Rattus norvegicus: one gene and its partners. The protein of the gene in region 1 interacts with the protein of each later gene in a biochemical or structural test. Links are inferred from orthologs where the notes say so. Each region holds a gene or a part of one and is shown in the gene's direction. Other genes may lie near its edges. The genes, in order: Reps2, Epn1 and Grb2.

Region 1 (4,713 bases):
TCTTTTGGAGCCCAGCATGGTGGCACATGCCTTTTATCCCAGCACTTGGGAAGCATAAACAGGCATATCTCCATGAGTTTGAGGCCAGCCTGGTTTACATAGTGAGTTCCAGGACAGCCAGAACTATGTAGAGAGACCCTGTCTTAACAAATAAAACCAGATTTTCCTTTTGGAAAAAATGTAAATATATAAGACTTACACTGCCATTTTCAATGTTGTTGTGAGGCAGATTTTTTTCTTCTAGTGTATTATTTTGTGGACTTTGTTTTTCTTTTTGCAGGCTAGCTTGGAATTCACTGTGTAGCTAGAGTAGATTCAAAATTTCAGTGCTTCTCCTGCCCCAGACTCCTAGTGTTAAGGTTACAAACCTGAGCCACCACACTTAGCATAGACTTTCTTTCCACATAGGAGGTTTGGCTAGAGCAATAGCCATCAAGGAAGAAGCCCATTTGAACACACACACACACACACACACACACACACACACACACACACACGGTTTTTAAAGTTCTGAGATCTAGTGTTGACTTTTTTGGTAGGAACTTGGACAAATTTTGGACAAAATTTTAAAAAGCTGCTTGTTTTCCTGCCAAAAGAAGTGTTTTTAGAACAAAGGGCCTTGTCTAAAAAATAAAAATAACCAGGGACTAAGCCACTACCTAAAGACTATATATACATGGACTGTCCCTGGACTCTGACCTCATAGGTAGCAATGAATATCCTAGTAAGATCACCAGTGGAAGGGGAAGCCCTTGGTCCTGCTAAGACTGAACCCCCAGTGAACGTGATTGTTGGGGGGAGGGCGGCAATGGGGGGAGGATGGGGAGGGGAACACCCATAAAGAAGGGGAGGGGGTGGGGTTAGGGGGATGTTGGCCCAGAAACTTGGAAAGGGAATAACACTCGAAATGTAAATAAGAAATACTCAAGTTAATAAAAAAATAAAAATAAAAAAATCCTTCTAGAAATCAAGGACACTGTTACAGAGGCCAATATTTTCAGTTCTTAAGAAGCATAAATTTTCCAGATAGTGTCTCCCACCGTTTCTCAGATTTCAATAGAGCACTGGCACAGAATGCACCTCACCTCTGAAAAACAAACAAAACCCAAAAACGCATTTTTCCACTTCTTTCCTTTAGGACTTATAGGTACCTTCTGATACTTCTCAGTAAGGCTCAAATCCAGATCACAGCCATACCTGAGAAAGTGACCTAACTCCATCATCTCTGGGGTGGTGCTGGGACCCCGTTCATAAGAATTCCGCTTTTTTAGCTTTTCAGGACATAGGCCTTACAGTTTTAGAAGAAGGAAAATCCAACTTTTCTTGCCTGATTCCTTTTCTAATTGGACTCCTCATCCGCTTGGGACTTCTAATGAGACATCTCAGTTTTCCCCATCCCTTGAAAAGCGCTGTTTTTCTTGTGTGTGTACAGATGTTCCCCTGCCAGTCAGGATGGAGATCTCAAGATGCCCCTCGTGAACAGCGTGGGCTTGGAGGGCGTTGGCAGCTGCTCTCCCCGCCCGGCCTCGACTGCAGAGCAGGTGAAAGGCTTGGGAGGGCGGCGGGCGGAGTTGTGTTCCTTACCTGGCAAAAGGGCGGAGCGGGGCGGGCTTTAAGGGAGGGGCCCAGGTGGGATTCTGGGCTGTGATTGGTCAGTGCCGCGCCTGTCTCCATGTGCCGCGCAGCGGAGGCACAACATTCAAGCCCGGGGGGGCGGGGCCGGCGTGCGCTTGGAGGAAGCGGCAGCGCTGCAGCTGCGGGGCGTGGGGGCGGCGGCTTCGGAGGCCGAGGCGGTGGTGGTGGCCCTGGCGGAGGCACGAGCACCTTGGCCAGGGAAGGCGCTCAGCCCGGACTCTACAGAAGGCCCTATGGAGGTGGCGGCGGGCGGAGGCGGCGGTGCGGGGCCGCCGTTGCTGCTGAGCGATAGCGAGCAGCAGTGCTACTCTGAGCTCTTCGCGCGCTGTGCAGGCGCTGCAAGCGGGGGCCCCGGACCTGGCCCCCTCGAGGCTACCAGGGTCGCCCCTGGCATTCTCACTGCGGCCGCTGGTCCGGTAGCCGATCTGTTTCGAGCGTCGCAGCTGCCACCGGAGACATTGCACCAGGTATGCCTCTGCGCTCTTTTATCCCTCACGGGTCTGTGTGGACGTGTCTATGGGAAGAATGGAGCAACAACGACTATTCCCGGGGATCTGGAGGGCGGCGGCCAGGACGGCAAAAAGAGGGGGGGCTCTGCAGCCGAGGATGGCGGCGACGCCCTTGTCCCCAGGGACACCAGCCTCCTCTGCAGCTCCTCTCCTTCTAGCCCGGTGCTTGGGTGTGCTCTTCGTCCCTTGAGAAAGTCTTGACACCCCTATCATTTCTGGGGGTTCTACAGTCTCCCAGACCCAAAGTTTGCCCTGTTCTGGAAGTGATGTTTGTTTTGGCTGCTGTCTGCTTTAACCTCTGTTCCTTGCTCCTGCCCCTCCCTTTGTTGACTACACTCTCGGGGTGCCTTACTGGGATTTGAACTTGAAGGGTGTGTACATGTGTGCCTGTAGGCTCTGGGCCTACAGCTACATGTTGTCCTCCCTTTTTAATACTTGTGATATGTACATATCTGCTACATATATTTGTTCACTAACGTATTTCTGATTATTAGTATAGAAGTGGAAAACCTTAGTGCCCAGTTGTAGAACAGGGACTCAGGGCTACAAGACAAGAACATTGGTCAAGTCCAAAGTAAGTTCCCTATTTGGGTCCAGGGGTGGATTTAGAAGTCTATAGCTGTAGTTTCCCATCTTATTGTCACTTGACTTTGGCATGGAGTTACGAAACAAAGGGTGTCATAGCTTCTTTCTGTCTGCCCCATACCTGGAAAGGAGGAAGGAATGATTCACAGCAGGTGCTGTTTTTGTTTTGTGCTTTCCTTGAAGCTTGGACAAAGGTTGCTTGGTAAACCTTTGTCTGTCATTTGATGTTACCAGCAGCAAATGGGGATAATATTGTTAATATCAAGCCCTAAATATGAACCTCTACTTAAAAAGCAATAGTGTGAAAGTTATTAACGAAAACTGAATTTTTACAGTGGTGAGCAAAGGCTTTAAAATGTAGTTCCTAAGGAGTACTGAGGGTTTTATGGTTCACTTGCCATATCTTTCTTTGCCTTTGTGAGGCTCACTCTTTTCTTTCTTTCTTTCTTTCTTTCTTTCTTTCTTTCTCTCTCTCTCTCTCTCTCTCTCTCTCTCTCTCTTTCTTTCTTTCTCTCTCTCTGGCACTCAAGACTGTTCTATACTGCTGGTGCATGACATTGATGCTCGTTTGTTTGTGAGCATAATTTTAGCCACTTGGTTCACCTTTTCGAATTGAGAATTTCTGAACATGATTAGTATTCATAGAATTTAGCATGGTTGTTTGTTCCTGTGGGATTCTGTGATAAGGAGATAGTTCTGCCACAGTTGCTAAGCAGTTGAGTTGCACAGGGTGATGATAAGGAGTTGGTGTTCTGAAACAAACTAGCTATTACCAGGACCTCAGGATACTGCCGAGCATAATAAATTCACTAAAGTGTTCGAGGCAATGCACCAAATAATTGCACTGTACATCTGGCCAGGATTAATTTGTGGTCGGTAATACATCAAGTGTGATAAGAGAAAGGGGCATATGAAAATTGGTTGAGGTTTCTGCAGGAATTGGCGAGGGGGCTTTCCTGTGTGATAACCAATGCTTTCTTGAAGAACATATAATTTAAAAAGAACCTAAGGTACAGAGACTTAGAGGGGAAAACTGTGTGCAAAATACCACTTCAGATGCTACCAAAAGGGGCTATTCCTAGATTGCTTATTGTGAGTCTGAGATTTATGTTCCCTTACTCAGCCCAGAGAAATAAAACACAGTCCCTTTCATGTAACCAATTAGAATGACTTTTGGTACAGGTAACAATTAACATTTAAAGTCACCCAGCGGGAACTGGGAAGGGTAATGAAAGATGGGATCTATTGGACATCTAACTTTTATCCACCACTTTGGTGGTGTGTGTATGCTCTGTCTGACTTAATTTGTTTTAGCTCATTAGTGTATTGGCTATTTTAAAACAAATGTAGAAAATTTCCCCCTTTCCCTTCTAAACCGAAACCTGAAAGTTCAGATTTAAGTGGCCCAACAGGTATAACTGCTCAAATCCCGGAGACAGTAACCAGACCTGATAGTTTCTATGGTTAACAGCCAGATTTTCCTCGTAATAAGCATACGATTGAGATGACTGTACTGGAGGGCTGGGGATTTAGCTCTGTTGCTAGAGTGCTTGCCTAACATGCATGAAAGACTAGATTCAGTCCCCATCACTGCCGCAAATCGGACATGGTGGCACGTACCTATAATCTCAGCACTCTGGAGGTAGAGGCAGAGGGGCCACAAGTTCAAGGTTATCCTCAGCAACATAGCTAATTTGAGGCCAGTCTGGGTAAATGAGACTTTGTCTTAAAATGATTATTATTATCTATTAACTCACAGAGATCCAATGATAGACCATTCTTAGACATCAAGATTGGTTATAAAATATTGTTTAATCTATATTATCAGGAGAAGCCATTAAATGGGAAAATTCAGTAATATCTGATTGTCAGATAATGGATTAAAGCAAAGAATCACATCCTGGCCATGAGAAGTAGGCTTATTTTACTTTATATTTATTTATTATTTATACATTTAAGAGTTTTTCCTGCATGTGCTTGGTAT
Region 2 (3,942 bases), on another chromosome or scaffold:
TTAGATTGCTTGGGGTTTGCAACTCCCCAGGTTCAGGTTTAGGTCAGCCCCTGATGGGGACATGTGTGCTCGCTCCTGATAGAGCTGCTAGTCTGGCCTTCTGTAGACTGTCCCTCTAGCTAAAGGATAGATAGTAGTGTAAAGTCCCAGAGGAGGCCAGCACCGTGGTTGACAGGACGGCCTGTGAGTCTACTTTTTGAAGTCATAGAATGTTGTAAATGGTGAATTCAAGATTGGTGGGTGCTGATGAGCATTTAAAAAGAAATGAAAGTGGCATAAAGAGAGAGTGCGTCTCATGTCTTAAGTCTGTGTGATCTGTCTAGTAGCATGTTCAGTGGCAGGTGCGGGGGTCCTTCCTGGATTATATAGGGGTTTCATTTTTTCATGCAGAGGGACCTTGGCTTGGCAGGGAGAGTGGGAAGAGTGTTAGATAGGGAGATTATAGGAGGACAGTTGGGAGCACTGAGTTTGCAAGTGGTTGTGGGGATGGCGAGTCAGTGCTGGGGGTGAGCGGGATTGGACCCTCCAGGGCAGATGGAACCAAAAGTCTGTGACCTTGGTTCTAATGGGAGGCCTTCCGTCTGATGCATCAAGTTTGGGTCAGAGATATGAGGACACTGTGGGAAGTGCTCAGGTGGAGCTTAAAGCAGGGAACATAGTAGAGGGGAGGAACCTGGGGGCGTCCAGGAGTGACCCACCAGGGGAAGAGTGGAAGCTCTAATACAGGATTGGGCTGGGCCGAGGAGGGATGTCCGTAGCAAGGAACATGGCCTGGTTGGCTTCGTGGAAAGCGTGTGGTATGCATGCACATGTGTGTATGCGGTGTGCGTGTGAACAAATGGCTGTGCACTTGCAGCCACGTGTACGGTGGCCCAGCGTTGATTGCTTTACACATTGTTCTTTTTGATGCACGGTCTTAGTCAAATCCTGAGCTCACCAAGTCAAGCCTTGAGCCAGCTTGCTCTGGCCAGTCTGTGTCTCCCTAGGCTGGAATTACTAGTGAACTAACTGTTCAGTCTACCTCATATTTAGGTGTGTCCTGGGGATCTTAACTCTGGCTTTCATGCTTGGGCAGCAAGTGTGTTAAACCAGTAGGCCATCTTCCTAGTTTCTCTGAGGAGGGTTTCTTAGTTGTTAGACATGGCCAAGCTCCAGAGAGGCCAGATATTTGAGTGCCTTGAGCTTTGTTGACCCAGGAGCCCGAGGCACATACATCACCTGCTCCACACACAGATAAGCATGGGTCACATGCTTCCCATGCTCCCGTCATGGGCTCTGAAATTGGAATTGATTTTGTTGTTGTTGTTGCTGCTTGTTTTTTCCTTTTTTGAAACAGGGTTTCTCTTGTATAGCCTTGGCTGTTCTGGAACTCATTCTGTAGACCAGGCTGGACTCAAACTCAGAGATCTGCCTGCCTCTGTCTCCTGAGTGCTGGGATTAAAGGTGTGTGCCATCACTGCCTGGGTTAAATTGGAATTTCTTTACAATTTTTGTATGTCTTGACATGTTCTTTCATTTTCTTTCTCAACCATTTAAAGTACCAGTTTTGGCCATGGGCCATGTTCGCCTGACCCATGTCTCAGAGCAAAGTGCTTGGAGAGAGGAAGGTTTCCACAGGAGTTGGGGAGGGTTGCAAAGGGTTGGAAGCCACAGGGAGCGTGAAGCTGGGTGGTTGGGGTGGAAGTTCTTGTGTTGTTGGTTGCTGCCCATTTCCTTATGAGGTCTGAAGTGGGGCCTTAAGGTTTGCACAGTGTAGGTTTGCCAGTGGGGTGTGGGTTGTGTCTCCTGAGGATGTTCCAGGATCCATCTTAGGTAAAAGGGATTTGGGGGCAGGAGCAGACAGCTTCTTAGAGTGTGGATCTTCTCTGGATCACTGCTGGAGCAGTGGTTAGAGACCTGGCCTCCGTCAGGGGATCAGGAGCCACTATGGATGGAGCCTGCAGACAGCAGGGCATGGTGCCAGGACTGAAGGAGGTGATGAGAAGAGGCAGACTGTAGGAACTGGTCTCGAGCCTCCTCGGGAGCACACCATCAGCCTCTCTCCCACCTTCTGCTGGCCCTGGAGCCAGGCTCTTGACCTTAATGTGGCCTTCCCCGTCTCCACGCCCTGCTGATGCCAGAGGCTCATGCTCACCTCGTTGGTCTCCACAGTCTGGACAGACATTGCCTCCCTCTTAAATTCCAGCTGTCCCTGCCAGGGCTTCAATTCTGCCTAAAAACAGGGGCCCTTGACTGCTCTGTTGGGAGATCTCCTAGCCTGGGAAACCTGGGAGGGTCCCTCTGGAGGCCCAAACCTGTGGTTTTCCTTCAGACCCTGGTCTTCCCTTATCAGTAGCTTGCAGTTCTGAGGGTGGGGCTGGCCTTTGCCCCTCCCTGGACTCTGGCTCCATAACTTTTTCTCGCAGTTTGGCCCTCCGAGGCCTTTTTCGGGGGAAGGGGAGCCGTGCTGGGATTTGGGCTGCAGCCCACCTCTGGCTGTGGGTTCTCATCTTTTGGTCTTTAGTCCACCTGTGTCTTAATGTCTTCCTGTTTCCAGCTTCCTCAGCAGCTGTGGGCTCTGGACCACCTCCCGAGGCGGAGCAGGCATGGCCACAGAGCAGCGGGGAGGAGGAGTTGCAGCTCCAGCTGGCCCTGGCTATGAGCAAGGAGGAGGCTGACCAGGTACGGGGCACGGTGGGGGAGAGGGCTGGTCTCTGTTCTGCCATCCTGTCCTCATGCCTCTCCTGCCTCAGCCTCCTGCTGTCTCTCTCTGGTCTGCGGCTCCCTCCATCTTAGCTTTTCCCTCCTGGGAAGCCGACCTGCGCTTTGACAGTCAGGCACACAGCTTCTTCCTTTCTCTGCCCAGCTTTACAGATTTGGGAGGACCAGTGTCTCCTTGCCTGATCCCGCCCAGCCTGGCCCTGTGCCCCCTTTTGGCCTCTCTGCCTGTTACTCTGGCTCTGGCTTCCCCTGCCTTGTCCCTCATACTTTCTCTCCACCAGCCCCCGTCCTGCGGCCCCGAGGATGACGTCCAGCTCCAGCTGGCCCTTAGTTTGAGCCGAGAGGAGCACGATAAGGTCAGAGTGGCCTCCCCTCCCCTCCTAGGGCTTTCCTTACACCTTGCTCAGGTCCGTGGGTCCTTACTCCTTGCCCCTTCCTGACTGCCTCCCCTGAGTACAGGTGTATTTTACTCACTTCCAGTTCAGCGTCTTTAGCCAGGGTGGATGCCAGGACATTGGATAGGTCTGCTGTAGCTGTCTGGGAGTCTAAGTGTCACTAGTAGCACCTCAGCAGTAGGCCAAGATGAAAGGGCCTCCTCCTCTTCCTCAGTCCCACTGCTTCCCAGCTTCCTAAGCTGTTTTCACAACCAGCTTTAGCCATTCCTTTCATAGCACCCTGCACACAGTCAGTCCCCTTCCCTCCAGACCACAGTCCACTGCCTCCTGCCCCACCTTTGACCCAGGTGTCACATTCCCATCCCCATTCCATACATTGTCCACATTCCATTTTAATTATTTTATTTTCGTTTTCAGAGTGGGAGAGAGGGTGGTTGGGATGGGGGCTTTTGGGCTGGGCCAGCTGCCCTCCCATGGCCCGTGTTCTGACCCTACCTGTCTGGCTGCTTCTGCTCTCCATAGGAAGAGCGGATCCGTCGTGGGGATGACCTGAGGCTGCAGATGGCAATAGAGGAGAGCAAGAGGGAGACTGGGGGCAAGGAGGAGGTGAGCGCCTGTGTGTTCTGTCCTCTGGCTCACTCGCTCCTGCCATGCCACCTGTGGTCAGAGGGGCTTCCATGTAGACTGAGTGCTAAGTCACAGGGCCCAGAACCTAGCAGCAGCCTGGCTAGCTGCAGCAGGACTCGGGCTCATCTGCCCATGCTGTTCGCCAGATGCCTTCCACAGACCCTGCCTCTGCTAGACACTAAGGGTTGGTGGTCCTTGCCTGAGTCTTCCCTGACCAAGG
Region 3 (3,942 bases), on another chromosome or scaffold:
TTATTTGAGGCTGGCTGAAGGGCAGTCGGTGGGCTCCATTCCCACTTTGAGCTCTACAGAAGGAAGTTGAACACTCAGGAGCCTTTCTCCAGGTCACACTGCTGTGAAGGCCACCTCTTCTGATTGTTTCTGCACTTCCCACTCTGGATCTGCCACACGGTCTAATAATGCACACGGTGCTTAGTGTGGTGCCTCCAGGCAACGAGGCCAGCCCTCCCCCACCTCCTTTGTTTGGAGAGGAAGAGGACAGTTATACACTGACCGTCAGCCACCTAGCGATGCACTTGGGTCCAATGAAACCAGCCACAGTGGCTGTGCTGTAGTGCGCGTCGTGCGTGCCCGGCAGATGACACACAGGTTTCATAGTAAGTGACCTGCAGTTTAGCACCCAGCACCACATAAAACCAGGCATGGTGGGACACAGCTGTGCATGATAGCCATAATGAAATAATGATTTGTCACTGATAGGCAGACGGTCTGGTACTGTTGGGGTTATCATGTGCATATGAAAGGATTTCAGATCCATGAGGTAAGGTAGGACAGTCTCACTGTGTAGCTCTGGCTGTCCTGAAACTATGTAGACGAGGCTGACTTCGAACCACAGAGCCTTTGTCTGCCTCCTGGGTGCTGGGAATAAAGGGACACCACAACCACAACCTAGAGTCTACTTCCTCACAGTCCAGCTTCCCTCTGTGCTGTCGCAGACTCCACACCTCCAAGTCAGATGTCAGCCAGCCAGCCCTGCACTCCTGTTATGATGAAATGGCTTCCAAGGGCCTGTCTTCCCCTCTGCCCTTATCCTGGGTATCTGGGCTTCCCTAGGTACCACCTGATGAGTGAGGGAGAGGCAGGGCAGCTTTGGCCTTGGGCACTGGCTTTCAGACTGCATGTTAGGAGTGGTCTCCTTGTAGCCTGAAGAGTGGCCCTTGTTGCTGCCTTGAATCATGATCTGTAGAGTGGAGTGGGTGAAGCTGTTTGAAAGCTCTGTCACTCAGGAAGGCCCTGAGCCAAACAGTAGCCCCAGAGCCTTAGGCAAGAGGCCAGCAGGTAATGCTCTGCCCTGCTCTGCCCTCCCTCCTTCTCTCCGACAGAAGTGTCCCCATGTACATGCCAGGTTGTGCATCCCACCCAGTTCTCTGTGGGGAGGCAGATGTTGACTGGCTTGCCTTCCTTCCTTAGGTGGTTTTTTGGCAAAATCCCCAGAGCAAAGGCAGAAGAAATGCTTAGCAAACAGCGGCATGACGGGGCCTTCCTGATCCGAGAGAGCGAGAGCGCTCCTGGGGATTTCTCCCTGTCAGTCAAGTAAGTATTTCCTGCTGGAGCTGCCAGAGAAGCTGCAGCCATTGACTGGATTGTAAGGCTGCTGGGAAGATGTTAACCTGTCTTTTCCTGTGGACATCCTAGTGTTTGCTCTAACCTAGTTGTAGCAGATCCGAGCTTTAGGTTTGCAGTGTCATGAACCTATGGGAACTGACAGCACCCAGGGCCAGTTTAATCTGCACCACTTCTCATCCCGCCTGCCTTCACTGCTCACCTGGACCCGACACTTGGTTTCCATGAGCCTAGTGGGTGTCCTCTCAAAAATCCAAACAGGAGTTGGCCTCTAAGCTAGCACGTGAGAAGCAAAGACAGCTGGATCTCTGTGACTTCCAAGCCAGCCAGAGTTAGACATCTGACCGATCCTCCCCTTCTAGTTACTGTGTCACTGCAGAAGCCTACCCCAAAACTCTTCAGTCACAGACTCTTCTCTGCACCCCAGGCTGTCCAGGAACTTGCTGGGTAGCAGAAACTCGTCAAATGGATGGCAGTTCGCCTGTCTCAGTCTCCTGAGTACTGGGCTTACAGGCATGGCCAGCTGTTCCCTCCTCCTCATTATTAATCTGTAACGAGGTGAGGGAGCCCAGTGTCTTTGACTCCGAGCCAGGGAAGAGGAGGACAGACTGTCAGGAGTCTGCTTGCTTTCTCTGCTGTCTTGTGGGGTCTGAGGTTTAAACCCCACCTTGTCGGGTCTGAGCAGAAGGCCTCACTGAGTCACCCCACTAGTCCTGGCTTTTTTTGTCTTTTAAATACACCAACCAGGGTCTCAATGTAGAGCTCACTGTAGTACATTGAAGGCCCTGGCTTCTATCACTAGCACCACGATTAATGAGTGAAGGAGTGCACTCCTTCAGACCAGCCTTGAACTCCGAGTCCTGTGCCTTCACTTCCCTGTCATGGAAAGGAATGACAGGCCTTAAGCTCTGGGCACCAGAACCAAGCTGTGTTCTGTGTCTGAATGCAGAGGTGAGAGCTTTGGGTGAGCTTTGATACCTCAGAAGGTTTGCATACTTTTCTGTTTTGCTTTGTAAGACAGGATTTTTCTCTGTGTAGTCCTGGCTGTCCTGGAACTTTTATCTATAGACCAGGCTTGCCTCAAACTTTTTTTTTTCAACTGAGTATGATAACAGTTTCTTCTTATAACTAGGTTTGGGGTTTTTTTTTTTTTACATTTTTGATTAAACACATGTAAGTAAGGGTCATACAGAGTCTTGGTTTGTAGAATTAGCATTTTTAGACTTCTCAGTAGCTTGTATGTCTTTCCTTTGCCTGAACTGCTCCAAGTAGCAGTAAAACAGCTCAGGAAGGGGAGACAATGATTAGACAGTCGGGAGTGGCCAGGCCCCTGGGCAGTGCTGGGCTGGAGACCGGCCTGTGTTCAGCACCACCACCTCTACCCGAGCACCTGCAGGAAGGCCAGCTATGCCGTCCATGAAAGACAGCCTTGCAGGGATGGAGACCCAGGGCAGAGATAGAAATGCCTGATTAGCACAGTGAGTCCTAGGTTCCATCTCTAGCACAAGCACTGCCAACAACTGAGTGTAGTCTCAGCACTTAGGAGCTTGAAGCAGGAGGATTATACATTCTGGGTCATCCTTGGCTACATAGTGAGCTCAAAATCAGCCTGAGCTAACTGAGACCCTGGCTGATGACATGGCTCAGTGGGTAAAGGCACTTGTTATCTAGCCAGGTGACCTGTGTTTTGAGTCTCAGGAGTCCCTCTGACCGTGCCTGTGCCTACCACACATGCATATCTAGAAAATGTGGTTTTTAAAGTTAAACAGAAAACATTTAAAGATGTTAGTAAGCCATCACTTTAGGAATAAAATGTCCGGGGTGGATGACTCAGTTGGTAACTACCACGCAGACAAGAGGACCTGAGTGAGGATCCACAGTGCAGAAGTTATAGAGAGAGGAGATCCCTGGAGCTGCGGCCGGCCAGCCTAGTGTAATCAGTGAGCTCCAGGTCCAGTGAGAGACATACTGCAGACATCCAGCATTGACGTTAGGTTTCCACATACATGCACATGCATTCATACCCATACCCACACACGCACACAAGGATAGCATGAACTACCTACTGCCTTTAGTGAAGCACCTACACAGGTCCTTCGATCAGCACCAGACTTAACTAAGCTAGTACACTGGTTTCCAGGTCTGCAGAGCCTGGCGGGAAGGTCGTGGTAGGAGTGACCCTGCACTCCGGAAGCAGGTGCATCACAAAAGGCCCTTGGGCCTTTGGAGCCAGACAGGAAGGACCTTTGGATTCTGAGCCACAGTCCTTTTGAAACCACCTCCATTGCTTCTCAGTGGAGACATGAGGAAGTGGACAGCCACTTCAGGCTTGCTTTCCTCCATCAGTTACCACAGGCCAGCTGGAAATTCCAGCAATAACTCCTGGACTGTAGATAACTTTTATGATGGCATATTGTTGTGATTGTTTCAGTGAAAATAAACTTTATCAGATTATGTGTGTCTATAGGGGAAAACAGTGCATCTGGAGTTTGGTATCTGGTTTCAAACTAGCCCTGGGTGTTTGGAAGCACTGGGGCCCTACACTCCCCAGCTGAAAGCTCAGTGCTACCATCTGCTGGTTTGTCACTAGAACTCCTGTACCTTCGTTAA

The links.
Region 2: the proteins of Reps2 (region 1) and Epn1 form a complex in vitro, tested with the Homo sapiens proteins (3 studies listed by BioGRID and IntAct, with this or other methods). The link is inferred for Rattus norvegicus from reciprocal best matches to the Homo sapiens genes REPS2 and EPN1.
Region 3: the proteins of Reps2 (region 1) and Grb2 form a complex in vitro, tested with the Homo sapiens proteins (2 studies listed by BioGRID and IntAct, with this or other methods). The link is inferred for Rattus norvegicus from reciprocal best matches to the Homo sapiens genes REPS2 and GRB2.

What each region holds. Positions count from the first base shown.
Region 1 is NC_086039.1:35,679,539-35,684,251, forward strand, and holds the start of Reps2 (RALBP1 associated Eps domain containing 2), read left to right. Parts: upstream 1-1,724; 5' UTR 1,725-1,868; coding exon 1,869-2,102; intron 2,103-4,713. UniProt on the Homo sapiens protein: Involved in ligand-dependent receptor mediated endocytosis of the EGF and insulin receptors as part of the Ral signaling pathway. By controlling growth factor receptors endocytosis may regulate cell survival.
Region 2 is NC_086019.1:77,775,848-77,779,789, reverse strand, and holds part of Epn1 (epsin-1), read left to right. Parts: intron 1-2,536; coding exon 2,537-2,661; intron 2,662-2,981; coding exon 2,982-3,056; intron 3,057-3,617; coding exon 3,618-3,701; intron 3,702-3,942. UniProt on the Homo sapiens protein: Binds to membranes enriched in phosphatidylinositol 4,5-bisphosphate (PtdIns(4,5)P2). Modifies membrane curvature and facilitates the formation of clathrin-coated invaginations. Regulates receptor-mediated endocytosis.
Region 3 is NC_086028.1:101,385,322-101,389,263, reverse strand, and holds part of Grb2 (growth factor receptor-bound protein 2), read left to right. Parts: intron 1-1,179; coding exon 1,180-1,302; intron 1,303-3,942. UniProt on the Homo sapiens protein: Non-enzymatic adapter protein that plays a pivotal role in precisely regulated signaling cascades from cell surface receptors to cellular responses, including signaling transduction and gene expression.